2 linked regions of the Notamacropus eugenii genome follow. The protein of the gene in region 1 interacts with the protein of each later gene in a pairwise test. Links are inferred from orthologs where the notes say so. Each region holds a gene or a part of one and is shown in the gene's direction. Other genes may lie near its edges.

Region 1 (7,333 bases):
GGAGTTTACAGAAGAAATGGGACTGGGATAGACTGTGTTTAAAGGGCTAATAGAGATGGGTGGTTGGAGATCCACCTCTCTGAGGTGTCTTAATCAGTTAATCAGCAAGCAATTATTAAATGCCCACTGTGTACTAAGCACTGTGCTAAATGAACTTTAGCTAGCCTTCTCTCCTTTCAGACGGGAAACTCCTTGAGAGCAGGGACTTTGCCGATTTCTGTTCTATGTCTTCCTCTGGTTCCTGAAGCCAGGCTTTTCACATAACAAGCAATTACATTTTGCCAAATTGAATTGGTTGGGACGAACAAATCAGTTCCCATTTCCAGCTTCTCATTCAGAGCAATAATGGTTTGAGACTTGCTAGAAAATGATATTCTCATCCTCCTTTCCATCATCTCTTCCTTGTATTCCATACCCCGCCTCCATGGCAAACCATGCACATCCCAGGATGCCACACCGCCAGGGGGAGAGAGGGAGCAGTCAGCGTCACCATCCCCATTCCCCTGCGGAAGAGTCTGCGGGCCTCCTTTGGTGCCTAGGCATGCTGCTCCCTACCTCCACCACAAGGAGTCAGCAGAGGGTTGTACCTGGACCGGGAGCCTAAGCAGTGGGATTGGAGAGGCAAGAGAGGAAAAGGAGAGGGTGCCCCTGTACAGCGGATACTCCTGGGAATGAAGGTGTGGCTGAGCACTTCCTATGGCCGAGACACAGACGGACTGCAGCCTCCTTCAAGTCCACCGCTAAAGAGGTGTGGGGATTTGCAGATGTCATCTGCTCCTCCATGCCTTCTAAAGTCCCTCTCTCCTCAAATTACTTTGTATTTACTCTGTATATTTTGTATCAGTGTACACACTATTTCCTTCCTGGTAGAATGGTAAGTTAAGGACAGGGACCACTTTTGTCTTTATAAGATCACCGGGCACAAAGCTGAGAAACAGTAGGTGCTTAGTAAGTGAAGGTAGTCTATGTGTTTTCCCTCAAGAGATTGTAATCCCCTGAGGGCAGGACTAGTTTTTGTCTTCGACTAGTAGACATTCAATAAATGGTTATTGAATTACATGAGCCCTCTTCCCCAAGTATCAGGACAAGGTACAGTTTGGGGGAGGGACTGGTAGTAGGGCTGGGGGGGTTGGGTAGTGTTGGACTTGGAGTCAGGAAGACCTGGGTTCAAATCCTGCTTCTGACACTGTGTAAGTACGGAGGAAGTCACTCTCCCCAGGCCAGTTTCCTCATCTCTAAAATGGAGTTGGACTAAATGGTATCTGAGATGCCTTCAGTTCTAGATCTATGATTCTGTGATTCTGCGCGGCCGCCCCCCCCCCCCCCCATCATCCCAGTTTGCTTAGGTGCTCTAAGGAGTCAATTCATCTTGGTTCCTGGGATGTCCCTCCCATCCCTCCCCAGGAGACACAGTCCAACTGAGAGACTTAGATTGAGTAGGGGGAGGCATGCCAGGCACCTGTTTGTTCTCCTTCATGCCTGCCAGTCCCAGGCTGCCACGTGCTCTCAAACTCACCCACACACAGCCCAAGAAACAAAGACAAACAGACCGTGCAGCTGAGAGCCGAGTAGACATTTAATAAATGAAATTCCATAGCTGAGAGAAGAGCTGAATCTTCAGCTCCAGTTCCCACCCCCAGCCTTCATTCCACATGCATTCACTCACCACGAGGCTGGAAGGGGGTGGGGTAGGGAGAGAGAGCCTGTCTCAGCATCCTCAGCCTTGAATGCCAGGGTGAAGAGAAGGCCCATCCTGGGGGAAAAGGGGGGAGTAGCACCTCCCATGCAGCCGTTGGCAGGTGGGGCTCTCCAGGAGCCGAGGGAGCCAGCCAGGCACAGGCTAACTCAGGTGATAAACTGCCTGGCTCTCTCCTAACAACTCAGGGACTGCATTGGGGGAGGCGGCAAGGCAGACAGGCAATGCTACAAGCTGGCAGTCTCCTTTTTTTTTTAAAGTGTGATTATAAATATAGCCAGTGGACACACACACTTTCAAACAAACTTGTCAATCCGGGTAGAAATGAGAAGTCGAAAGAGGCAGGTCTCGCTGTATTTGGGGCGCCATGACTCATGGGCGGCTGCTGTCTCAGGGAGGGAGCTAGTCTGCCCACCCACGAGCCCCTGCCACAGATAGGCTGAACATCTCTGGCACCTCTCCCCACGTGAGTGAATCTCCTGTTGCCAAGTAGAATCCCCTCTTTGTCTAGACTCTAGACGTTACACCTGCAACCTTTTCACCACTGGAACGGCTTCTAACACCTTCCCCTCCCAACAGCTTTCCCGAGTCATGCCCACCTCCCCAGAGACAGAGTCAAAAGCAGAAGGGGGGAAGGGCAGCAGCAGAGGGCAGGGCATTTTATGCAAACTGGCAAGCACAAGGGAATGCACACGAGCAGGCTGGGGCCACAGGTTCGCAGTTTCTCAAGGCTTCTTCCTTCATGTAAAATTTCATAACCTGCGAAGAAAAACCACTCCAAGGAAATATTCTGGGTGTATATATACATTTACACAGCCTGGACATGAACACGTGGCCTTGAAATGAAACAGGCCAGGACTTCATGTACATTCTGTTCCTCCCCTCCAGGAATGGACATATATGAGTACATGACAAAATACAGGAAAGTCCCCACATGAGAAGGCAGCTGTCTGTCTCTTCCTCCAGACATCTTTAGAAGTGGGCTTGATTCTTAGCCACGGGGAGCTGTAGTCTAGGTGTGGTCTTGCCTGGAGGCAGTGAGTGACCTCTCTGGCACCCTAGAAGTTAACAGTTTAATTCAGTTCAATGCCAACATAAGCTGGGAGGGACCTTAGAGGTCATGGAGTCTAACCCCCTTTATTTGACCGATGGGGAAACTGACCAGGGATTTGCTCAAGGTCAATTAGCTAAAGTACATAACAATAAGGCACAATACGGATAAAAATGACTTACTCTTCCCCCCGCCACCCATTGAGTGCCTCTTGGGTGCCAGCTGGGTGGACTGGGGATACAAAGCTGGGCAAGTGAATTTCTTTCTTCCAGAAACTTGGTCTATATTCCTCACGCGGGTGGCTACCTGCTCTCCCCCCATTCCCAGGGAAATCTGGGGATCTAGACTTCCTGCAGCAAGCTAAGACAAATAGACCTATGGAATTCCAAGGAACCCGGAAGAAAAAGAAGCCCAATTTGTAGCCTTAGGGCGTTGTCAGGGGCTGGGGTCACACAGGTGACAGAAGGGCAGCTTGAGCCCATGGATGCCAGCTCTCTATCCATCAAGATGGTATCGTTAGAACGCCCCCCCCCTTTCACACAAGTGTGGGTGCTCTCTGCAGAATCGTGTGCCCCTACCCATACATACATAGAACGTTTTCCCCAACTCAGACACCAGAGTGTGGACACTAATCGATGCGTTCCGCACCCAGACAGCTCTTAGGAACCCAGACTGTACAAAAGCTGGCCCATCCCTCCTTCCCCAAACACCCACAGCCTTGTCACCCCCACACAGAGGATGGCGACCTTTCCCCAACATTCTTTGTCCGCCTCTCCTTGGTATGGGGCGGCTTGCTAGGTCACCCCTAAACTGGCCTATTTACACGCACACACACACACACACAATAAACCTCAGCGAGGCAGTTCAGCCTTAATCCCCCACCTCCCGTTTTTGCCCCATTTTCACCACCTGCCCTCAATGCTCCCCCTCTCCTTCCTCCTCCCGCTGCTAGGATAGGGGAAGGCAGGAAGAGGAACTGTAGGGGTGACTCACCACCAGCTCCGCCCTGTTCTCGCTTTGGGGGCAGGTAGGGGAAACTGAGGCAAGGGGCCAGGATGCGGGGCAAGCTGGCGGCCAGTCACCCAGGCCAAGTCCTCCCCGACTCGGTTCAGGATGGGGAGAGGCTGGGGAGGGGGCGGTCTCCGGGGCTGGGATTGGGGGGGGCGGGAAGAGCCCGGCCCTCCTGGCCCTTTAAAGCCCCCCCACTCCCTAGCACCTCGAGCCTCTTCCTGTGTTCCTTGCCATTTCCTTTCTCCAGCTGGGAGCGGGGCGGGTCCGGGCCCGGGCTGGGGGTCGGGAGGCGCGCGGGCCCCTCCCCCGGTGGGCCGGGCCTGCGTCGCTTCCTGCGGGAGCAGCTGAGCGCGAGCTGGGCAGCCTGCGGAGAGCCGGAGAGCCAGGGGCCGGGCCGGGCCGAGCCGGGCGGGCCGAGCCGGAGCCGGGGAGGACGCGCCGGGGGCCGATCTGAGCGCCGACGGCCGGGGCCCCGAGGGGGCGGACGCGCGGCGGGGAGCGGCCTCCGCAGCAGCCGTGGCCGTGGCCGCGGGCGCCATCGGGGACCCCCTGCCTGCGGCCGACGCCCCCGCGCGCCCCCCACGCTGGCCCAGAGGGCTGCGGCCGCCTCGCCGCTGAGGATGTCCCGGAAGGGGCCGCGGGCCGAGGTGTGTGCGGACTGCAGCGCCCCGGGTAAGGCCCGGGCCGGGGGCGGGCACGGGGGCCCCGGGGTGGGGGGGAAGGAGGTCGAGACGCCAGCGCCCCGAGGCCGGGGGCGGGATGCTGCGGGAGGGTGAGCGGAGGCTGGGGGCTGCGGCCTCGGCAGCCACTGCAGAGCCAGGTGTCCTTGGGAGGGGCACCGGGGTGCCCGGGGGCCCGAGCTGGGAGGGGAGGGGCGCAGCGCGCTGCTCCTGGGCTGCTGCTGGTGCCCACGTCAGTGCTGGTCATCCTGCCCCCTCAGCACCCCCAGCCCAGGGGCCAGCGGGGTCCGTGCTTCAGGAAGGACGTGTCCGGTGCCTTCTCCTCCTTGGGCAGTCTGGCCTCCCCCCCAACGGCATCCACCCCCCCTCCCCGGCTCCTAGGCGGCAGAAGGACTGTGGGGGAAGCGAGAAGGATTTTTCCTTAGGGGGTGGAAGTGTGTGTTCTTAGTTTGTGTCATGGAGTCTCGGCTGCCTCCTTCTGTCTTACACCTGCTGCTCACACGTTGCGATTGCTGTGTAGCTGCAGAGGACATCTGTGGGGAAAGGGGGTGAGCAGGTATCTCCTGCCCTCACCTTGCCCAGCTCCCGGTCCACCGGCCACAGGTCTTCTCACAAAGGTACTCGGAAGGCAAGGGTTACCCAGGGATGCTTGTCTTTAGGCATCCTGGCCTGCCCAGGGCCTGGTAGGGCTGTTCTTCCTGGAGTTAGAGGGGCCAGGGTCAGGCCCTAGGTCCCATTTAATTCTTCAGAAGGTGGTGACTGATTCCTAGGCCTCTGAAGGTGCTAGGGGCTCTCACACCTACTCTGTCAGGCCAAATGGAATCCTGAGACACCATTCCTCAACCCCATAAACAAAGCCTGCTGGGTGGGGGAGGATGAGCAGGCCTGGGTCTTGAGATAGTTTTCCTTCTCCTCAGCCACTACTTGACAGGGAAGTGGGAAATCCCAGCACCATTGGTACCAGGCAGGGAGCACAGGACAGACCCTAGACCTGGGTGCCTAGGGTCTGTGGATAAATCCAGGGCAAGCCAGTAAAGGACACTGGACTCAAATCCTACCTCAGCCACTTATTCTGTGGGTCTACTAGTCCTGTACTTTCCCTGGAACTCGGTTTCCTTCTCTGTAAAAAGAAGGGATTGGTCTTTGATGGCTTCTAAGTTCCCTTCCAGCTTTGCTCTATGCCAGGGAGACCTAGCCTAGGGTCTGAGAGTCAGCTGCCTCCACCCCCTGCCTCTGATTCCATGTTGACTGGCATTTCCCCTTCTCCCCAGAAGAGTGGAGTTCTTTTCCATGTGGGAGTTGCACATCTCTACCTACTTTGGCCCCAGGGAGGAAATGAGGGGACAGACCAGAGGAGCAGTTTCCTTCTGGTGGAAGGGGTGGACTCCGGAGGCAGAAGGGGCTCTTCAGATCTGAGCAGCCTGTTGGGGCAAGGGGTAGTGGAGTCCTAATGGTCATAGGTAACCTTTCTGGGCCTCAGTTCCTTCATCTGTAAAATGAAGAAAATTGGATGACTACAGAGTCACTGTGATTCCTCCACCTTAACTCTGGCTTCATTCATTTGGGAGGGAGATAGGTTTGTACTGCCCACCTCCCCAAATTCCCACTTAGGTTCTGGGTTACAGATCAATTTGCAGAGTTTCCAGAGAACCCCAGAAGGCATGTGGGCAGCTGGTGCCCCAGTGTGCCCTCTCTAGGCTGGCAGAAAGGATCTGGGGAGGCTTATCTGGGGGCTTACTCCCCCTTCACAGGGAGTCTCCAGTGTTAGTGTCAGCTCCAATGATCATTTTGAGATAGGGATGAGGGACATCAGAACAAGCTTTCTAGTGCCCTGTGAGTACCCAGTGAGGGGATAGAGGAAGTTGGTGGTGGTATCTCTGTGGATGCCCAGTTTTGTGACCCTCAGTTGACCCCATTAGTGTCAGAAGGTTAGCCTCTTTGTTGGATGAGATATCCCCAGGTTGGCATAGGACTATGCCCTCAGGGCCCCTCCTCTACCTTGCTCATCTGGCATAGTTAATAGAAGCCTAGGTTTAGAGTCTGAAAAACACTTTAAGTTCTGTTGTAGGCACTAATTCTAACCTTAGTCGTGTCGGTCTCTCAGAACCTCAATTTCCTTCTCTATTAAGATGTGCTGTTAATGCTTGGTAGTCCCCACCTTGCTGAGCTGTTAGACTCAAGTGAGATAATTACCAAGCATTAATTAATCACCTACTGTGTGATCCAGGTGCTAGAAACATAAAGACAAAAACCCAAAAACCCAAGTCCTGAAACAGGCCCTGCCTTCAAGGATCCTATGTTCTATAAGGAAATCATATAAATATTTACAAAGTGACTTCAGAAAGGACATTAGCAACTGAAGGGATTTCCTTTTCTCCATAGGAAGGACTCCTGTGGAGAAAGTAGCATGACATTTTAGCAGATCTTTGAAGGAAGTTAAGGAAATTAAAGATGCTTAAAGGTGAGGAGAGAGTGCATTTCAGGCATGGGGGACATCTGTACAAAGACTTGGAAACTGGCATTGGTATGGAATGATGCCTGGAAAGAGCTTTGTAAACTCTCGAGCTCTCATCAGTAGTGATTAGCATCCTACTCTGAGTGGAAGAAAGGTGACCAAGACTGGTAGAACGTGCGAGGGCTCCTCATCAGTGGCTGTAGCAGACCCCTGAGGAAGACAAACTTCCTGAGTTGTTCAGGCAGAGTTAAAGTCTAGTTGGAATCCTGGCCTGGGTCCTATCCATCCCCTTCACAGATGCACCACATGGCTGCCCTCAAAGAAGACTCCTCTAGGATGTTGGATTAGGGGATTTGGAGTCCAAATGCATTCCAGCCCTGCTAAGTGCCCTGTTTGGGCCCTTGGGCTAGGCAGTCACTTACAGAAGGAAGGGTTGGATG
Region 2 (7,617 bases), about 400 Mb from region 1:
GATATTTCTGAGGTTTTTAGATCAAGCCCCCTTTGAAAATTTGTCTGGGGACCTGAACTTTAAACTTAAACCATTACTTTCAGGTACCTCTGCTTCCATTTTGTGCTATGGGTACAGAGCATAGAAAGACTGCCTAACTGAAATTATATTTATAATGTGCTGATGTTTATATAGCACTTAAGGTTTACAAAAATTTTGCTTTACAGATAATTTCATTTTAGTCTCACAAGAATGCTGGGTGGTAGGTGCTATTGTTACCCCCATTGTACAGAGAAACAAACTGAGGCAGACAGATTAGTAACTTGCCCAGAATCACATAGCTTGCAGATGTCACAGGTTGATTTTGAACCTCCAGTCTTTCTGACTCCAGACACAGCTCTCTATTCACAGTGCTACCTAGCTGCTCTATAATATAAAAAGGAACTGATTACATTTTTTTTTTTTTGTTATTCAAATAAAGCAAATGCTTTGGTGCTCATTTGTTAGGTAATCACAGTATGTAGGGGCTTTTATGCATATGTTTTGTAGGTTCTTTGGAATTTAGAATGCTGGATAGCTGATACATTTAATTTTTGTTTCCCCACTTATCTCCTAGATTCTACTGAGTTGCTTTACAAATAAGGTTTTACCCCATTTAATATAAGACATTCTGGGGAAAAGTACTTTTGTAAAGTGAGTCACTTTTTAATTGACTTTTATATAATTTCTGGGAAAGGAGTATGTGTTTGTGTAAGTATATTTGGTTTCATTTTATTTTATTTTATTTCTAGGCCGGAATTTTGGTCTTGATTGTATAGCTGCTAAGAAATTCTTAGTCCCCTAACATCTTGTCACATGTCAGACATTGGGGAAACATGTTTGGCAAAATCATGCTAAGATGGGATATTGGGTCAGGATGGGCATCACAAATTCTTAACAAATAAGGGACAGGAGCTTAATGACTATGACAAGGCAATTTTGAGAATCTTCTACTCAAAAAAATTGTAATTTCTCCAAGGAATAGTGACCAGAGTTTGAGTATCCTCTGCTCTTCCTCTTTGTATGAAGCAGATCTCTGCATTGATAGTTGACAGAGCAGGAAGCATACACTTGTCATACATTGGTTGACCTTACTAGAGGTTCCAAGTTTACTGAATGGAAGTACAAACCCCTACCAAAGATTTGTGAGTTCTATTATTATTGCAAGTGCTAATAATCCTTTTCCTTTTAATAATTCAGAGTTTTCAAAGCCCTGTTATATTTATAGGATTGTAGATTTAAGAGAATGTAGAGGCCTGCTAGTCCAGCCTCCTCATTTTACAGATAAGGAAATGGGAGTTCAGAAATGTCAAATGGATTGCCCAAAGTCACAGAGGCAAGATATCTCAGTGAAGTTCATATTAATCTGCTTCTCATAATGGCTTTGTAAATTAAAGCTAGATATTAATCTTTCTTTTAGAGATGAATAAATTTAGGGTTAGAGAAATTATTTCCTCTTGTCCATAAGAATAGTTAATACCTGACTGGAATTGGAACTTGGATTGGTATCCTTGAACTTTTTTTAAATTGGTAATTGCATTTTATAATGTAATTGTTTTCCTTTAGATTTTATTTTATGCATTTAAAAACATGCTGAGGTTTTTTATAGGTTTCATCAGAATGCCAAAGGAGTTCATGAGATTAAAAAAAGATTTAGAATTCCTGGGCTAGAACCGGAGGTCTTTATCATCTACTATTCCATACTGATTCTTTTGTCTTGGTAGGTGGACAAATTTTGTCATAAGATGAATTAATTTAAATAAAATCTACCCTTTAAAAAAATAATTGATTTCAGATTTTAATAAATCATTTCATTATTATTGGTCATTTGCCAGAACATAGAAATAATTTGCATCATTAATAAAACTTTACACTTAAAATATTCATTACGGCAGGATTTTTCCTTTATCAGCTCTGGTTAGCAGTTTGTTGAGATATGAGTTTATTCAACTAAAATAAGGCTTTGGTAGTGTGTGTGTGTGTGTGTGTGTGTGTGTTACAGACACATACACATGGGTGTCTTCCTTCCTTCCTTCTTTCTTTCCTTCTTTCCCTCCTTCCCCTACCACCTCTAACACTGAATCTAACTTATGAATGTAACTTTACTTTTTATAAGATTCATTGCTGTCTTTGAAGTGTTTGGTAAATTATAAAGTGCTTTGTGAACATAAGCTGCTGTTCTTGTCTTTGCTTACCTTGCAATTCTAGTCCTCTGCCACATAGAGTAAGTAACCTGGTAAAACAAAAGACAATAGGTGTCATTAGGTTAGGCATAGGTTTGTCACTGGTCGTATCCTAGAATCATTTATATTTTTCTAATCCACTGAGTTCATTTTCAGTTCTGTTTAGTCCCCCAGGTTAAAGAGTAAGTGTGTGGGAGGGCTACAGCCTCCTGTTCAGTATGAAGATGTTCACACCAACCCAGATCAGGACTGCTGCCTCCTACAAGTCACCACTCTCAATTTCATCTTTATCCCCATTGTCATGGGCATGATTTTTACCCTGGTAAGTGGATACAGGATGAGAATAATCCTGTTAACTGAATAACCCTATGTGCAGCAGGATAAGAAAGAAGGCCTGACAATGATGTGGTCTTTGGCTAAGCTTGTAGATGAGGACTCTGGAGTTCTCTTCTCATATCTCTGAGGGATTGACTGTGGCTAGGATCTGAGAAAAGAAAAAGTAATGAGAACATAAAGAGAGAAGAGACCATCCTAAGTGGTCTGGTGGTTCACTAGTTCCAAAATCAGCTACCCCTGGCTTGTGGGCAGATGGACTTTTGGATGGGGTAATAAGTTGAAATCCCACTCTCCTGTCTGAATGTTGAGTCTTCAATGATCCATGAACATTGAAGGCGGCCCTATTTGTTTGAGAAATAATAAAGTCTTAGACATAAGACAGACCTCGGGGCATATGGAAGACATCTCTAACCTAGGATGCAAGTTGACACCCCTTGTGCAAAGTTTAGACTGTTTTGAGTCAGTTTACCACGAAGTACTCCTATTTCTATACCTCTGGCACATTGGTCCCATTTCTTATAATATGTTTGGCAGCTAGAGAAGGAAAAATTATGACATTTAGTCTTTTGTGCCTTTTAGGTTTATATTCAGGGATCATTGTCTTTATTTTTAGCTTAAAGAGCTTAAACTGGGATGAGTTTATAAAATTAACCTTAAATGATTTTTCTTTATAAGACAGTTTTAGTAATTTAATTTTATAGAGCAATTGTGGTGCTTTTTTGGAGTTGAGCAGTCTCTGAATTCTCTTTAGACTATACTTTTTTGTAGAGTATAATCTGTAGCAAATCTAGCTTGCTTCATTTGAAGGATTGCTTCATGGGGCTACTCATTTTGCCTTTTCCTTTCAGTTTACCATCAACGTGAGTACTGACATGAGACACCATCGGGTGAGGCTGGTGTTCCAGGATACTCCTGTTCAAAATGGTCGGAAACTACGAAGTGAACAGGGTGTACAAGTCATTTTGGACCCCGTGCACAGTGTTCGTCTCTTTGACTGGTGGCATCCTCAGTATCCCTTTTCTTTGAGAGCTTAGTTACTGCCTCCTGTCTTTGGGGGCAGCCCTGAGCCAGTTGGATAATCCGTTAGTCATCAGAATACAACTAGGAAGGGGGCAGCTGGATTGCCTTTCCTGTTAGTAACTCACATGCTGCTCAATTTCTGGGGGCTCTTACATGGGGCTACTGAAGAATCAAGGGAGGGAAACAATGATTTGTAAACCTATTTTAATGTAAATTCTGCATTTGAAAGGAGAAACTTGGCCCTGTTCCTTGCTTTTAAAAGCCCTTTTTGGTGCTATTGAGTTTGGTGTCTTTTATTTTATTAACCCCACTGAACACAGAAAATGGATGATCTTGATTTGAGAAGAGCTCAGCTTTTTTGAATCCCCAAAACTGGAAAGCTTCTGCATTTCTTTGTGGATTTGAGTCCCATGTTGGCCCATCTGCATATAAGTGAATTTTCTTTCCTCCAGGAAATAAAACAGGTAGTAGGGTTCACAGAAATCTACTCATAATGATTTTTTGTTTTTTTTTTAATGGAGATATTTGTTATTTTAAATTTCTTCTGGCCATTTAAAAATCTCAGATGCTTCTGTACAAAGCTGGAACTTGAGATTTCCTGGGATATGTTAAAAGGTAGCAAGTTATATATATAAGATGAAAAGTAAGAATTTGAAATTTGTCTTTTGTTAGATTGTAGTGAAGTTTTAAAATGAAAAACAGGAAAGTTACTGCAGGGAAGACACTGTTACTCTTCTAGAAATAAGCAGGAGGCATTTATATCATTAAAAGAATAAAAATGATTCATCAATTCTTTGTAAAATTGGCTTCCTGGGCTAATAAATAGGAGGTCCTGATTGACTTTACCTTTACCTTTCACTCAGTGGCCTTGACAGCAGCCTGGGTGCCTCCTGAAGCCTGATCTGCTGCACCTTTGCAGATTTTTGTTTATTCCCTATAGTAGACAGGGGTGGAGTGTTTCTATAGGTGGTGATCTGAGAAAAGAGAACAACTTTTATGTGAAGCTACTATGTTGCTTTTTGATGATCTTAAGATCTCAGTGGATGTGGTGATTGCTGCATCTCATCTAGAGTCTGGCAACAAAGTAGAACCTTCTATTGGAAACCATGTGTCCCAGGTAGCTGATAACATAGGTCAAGCCTCTAAAAATGAATACTGCTTTTTCTACTGCATGGGTTCTGGAAAATTCTGAAAAATCTGCCTGATAATGCAGGTTTGTCTGTCATTAGACCTGTCTGGCCTCATTCCATACCATATGTGTCCTGAGTTGTTAATGGGATGGGTACCTGGGATGGCAACAGCAACATTTTGGGGTTGTCATCAAGAAAAGGGGAGGTTGCTTATAAACTTCCCTATTTTAAAACTTTTTTTTTTTTTTGCATTGGAAGACTAATAGTCTCCCTGAAATGAAACTACTGGAAATAGGATGATTTTGAAAGAAAATGGAAATGAAATTATTTGTCCTGTAGGTGTTTTAATTTGACTTCTGCCGTGTTCACCTTTCTCTTTGCAGAGCCAAACTAGAAGCTTACTGTACAAAAACAGTGCCAGCAGTGGGTATGGGCTCACTTGTCCAGTTGGCATAAGATCGCTTACCTCTTGAATTCAGTGATGATTAATCAGAACATCTTGGTTGAATGCTAACTTTGCTATTTAGTAGCCAGGTGATGTTGAACAAGTCACTCCTAACTTTGTTTCCTCATCTTGTAAAAATGGGGACAATAATACCTACCTCACTTGGTGAGGTAAGTGCTTTCCAAACCTTTAAAGCACTGCGTGTGGGCTGTCGTTGACTCCTGTGGCTTTAGATGTGCAATTTGCCCAGCTACTATTTCTAGAATCTCAGTGAAAGGATTTGCTTGTCTCAAAGCCTTTACTTTGAAGAAGCTTCTGCCTTCTTCCCCACACCCAAGTGCTTGTGGTGGTTATAGGTAATGGAATGTTTTGGCCTGCAGGTTGAACACTTGTCCTTTTCAGTTTTTTCTATGAATTGTCCTCCAGGAGAGCCAGTCTGGGTAAAAGGGCCTATGATTTTCCCCCGAGAGATGGGCATGTCTTCTGACTCATTGGGTTTTGAATCACATTCAACTCCTCCCCACTTCCTTCCTAAAACAGGAAAATGAAATGACATAGGAAATATTTTTGGAGAAGGGAAAAAGGAGAGCAAGGCTCTATGTGCCAAACTTCTGCTGCATAAACTAGTATTTGCTACTGAAATAGAACATGTTATGTATATATTTATAAATACATATGTACACAGTGCTGCACGTATATAAAAAATCTTCACACTGAGAGCAGTGCTCACTGGGTATTCTTAATGGGTTCTGTAGGCACCCACAACTCAGATGAGTGGGGAAGAGTGGTGGCACCAGAAAGGGGGAACCCGCGTGATGGCAGGGAACCTAGGGATCCCCAGGGTTCAGGAAGGGGAGCAGCGATTCCAGCGGGGGGACCCCCACCCGTGCCCCGGGGAGTATGGTCAGTGCATCAACAAGGGGTGGATGGGCACAGCAGGCCTCCCGGAAGAGCTGGGGCAGTGCCCTGTTCACTCCCCCTTCCATCCTGGCACCGCCGACTGGCACTTGAAAATCAAGTTTTCTCACCTGATCTATGGGTCTAATCCCCCGCCCCAAGCTGGGGCAAGTGCTGGACCAGGGAGCAAGCCTGAAATGCCAAGACAGCAAACCCTAGGGTTTAGCTGCCACGTTGGGGTGGGGGCTGGGAGGGGCGAGGTTGGGAACCGCACCCCCAGCACTTGGCCCCCAAACACCCAAATTGATCCCTACCTGGCCAGGGGGCCGCCAAGATGGCGCCAGAAGCTCCACGACTCTCGTCACGTGCCCGGGGCGGGGTCTAGGGCAGCTCCGCCTCCCGAGGCGTGGACATGCTAATATACGTGGCTGGGGGCGGGGCCTCGGGCCGGGCACCGGCTGAGGCTGCAGCCAATTCGGCTCGGGCTCGGCTCCCTCGGACGTGCCGGGCTCCCGCGGCCGGGGGCGGCTCCCTGTTGCCTGTGAGCGGCGCTGGCGGCGGCTGCAGGTGAGGGCCGGGCCGGCAGCGGCGGGGCAGGGTTCTTCGTTTCCCTTCCTCCCCCCCACACCCTCCTACCCCTCCAGGCCTAATAACCCCTGCGGGCTCTGGCCTGGTCTGGTGGCGCGGGTGCCCGCCGCATCCTAGGACCCTGGCCGCCAGGTGCTGACTCGGCCCCTCCTGCCGCCCCTCCGGCTCCTTGCCCTTGAGGAGTGGGGGTAGGGTGGTAGGTGGGGAGGGGGATGATACAGGGAGAGCTGGGTCGTCGATTCCTCCCTACCCTACCCCAGTGACCCCCGCCTCCAGCCCTACCAGTCCGGGGGTGGGAAGGGGAGATGTGGGGGTCGTAGTGGACAGCGCCACCCTTGCAGGAAGCTCAACCTGGCATCAGCTCAGCTCTCCAGGCAGGCCAGGCCCTGGGGAGTGTGGGGGGTGTGGGGCGGGTCTCGGCCAGGAGCTCGTTCCCGCACACTGCCTGCCCGCATTTGTCTAGCCTGTGCTTTTTCTGGGTAGCAATGCCCTCCCTCTCTGCAGTGCTGACGATGGGAAGGGGGGTCCTGCTGGCCAGCACTAAACGGGGGTCTTGGGGGTCCTTGAACATGTGGGGAAAGTGAGAATCAGCTGCGATTCGGGTGTATGTATGTGTTTCGTGGAGGGTTCCTGTGCCAGATGGGGGAGGGGGAGAAAAAGAAGACGGGGTGAAAAGACCGTAAATGTGATTTATGGTTTTTTCGGTGGTGGGGGTAGGAGAAAATCGGGGATCATGGGAGAGGAGAGAAGGAAGTGCCACTAGAAGGTGATGTCACTCTCCTGGGAAAGACTTGTGGTGGACCCCACTCCCAGCTTCCCTTCCCGATGTCTACCGTTTAATGGTGTGGAGGAAAGAGGGGTGATGAGAGAAGTATTGCTCAGGTTTTATATCCCTTCCACTTAGGAAGATTAAAGGACTTGGGCTTGAAAGTGGTCCCTTGGGGCTGCCTTGAAGTCACCTCCGAGGACACCTGGTCTAGAACCTCAAGCGCCCCATTAT

The links.
Region 2: the proteins of GIT1 (region 1) and PPFIA4 interact in a two-hybrid assay, tested with the Homo sapiens proteins (2 studies listed by BioGRID). The link is inferred for Notamacropus eugenii from reciprocal best matches to the Homo sapiens genes GIT1 and PPFIA4.

What each region holds. Positions count from the first base shown.
Region 1 is NC_092873.1:37,130,888-37,138,220, reverse strand, and holds the start of GIT1 (ARF GTPase-activating protein GIT1), read left to right. Parts: upstream 1-4,302; 5' UTR 4,303-4,378; coding exon 4,379-4,430; intron 4,431-7,333. Other genes in the region: uncharacterized protein, read right to left, coding at 2,709-2,754, 3,741-4,297. UniProt on the Homo sapiens protein: GTPase-activating protein for ADP ribosylation factor family members, including ARF1.
Region 2 is NC_092873.1:437,155,929-437,163,545, reverse strand, and holds the start of PPFIA4 (liprin-alpha-4), read left to right. Parts: upstream 1-4,588; 5' UTR 4,589-6,596; intron 6,597-7,617. Other genes in the region: TMEM183A (transmembrane protein 183A), read left to right, coding at 2,368-2,523, 3,386-3,571. UniProt on the Homo sapiens protein: May regulate the disassembly of focal adhesions. May localize receptor-like tyrosine phosphatases type 2A at specific sites on the plasma membrane, possibly regulating their interaction with the extracellular environment and their association with substrates.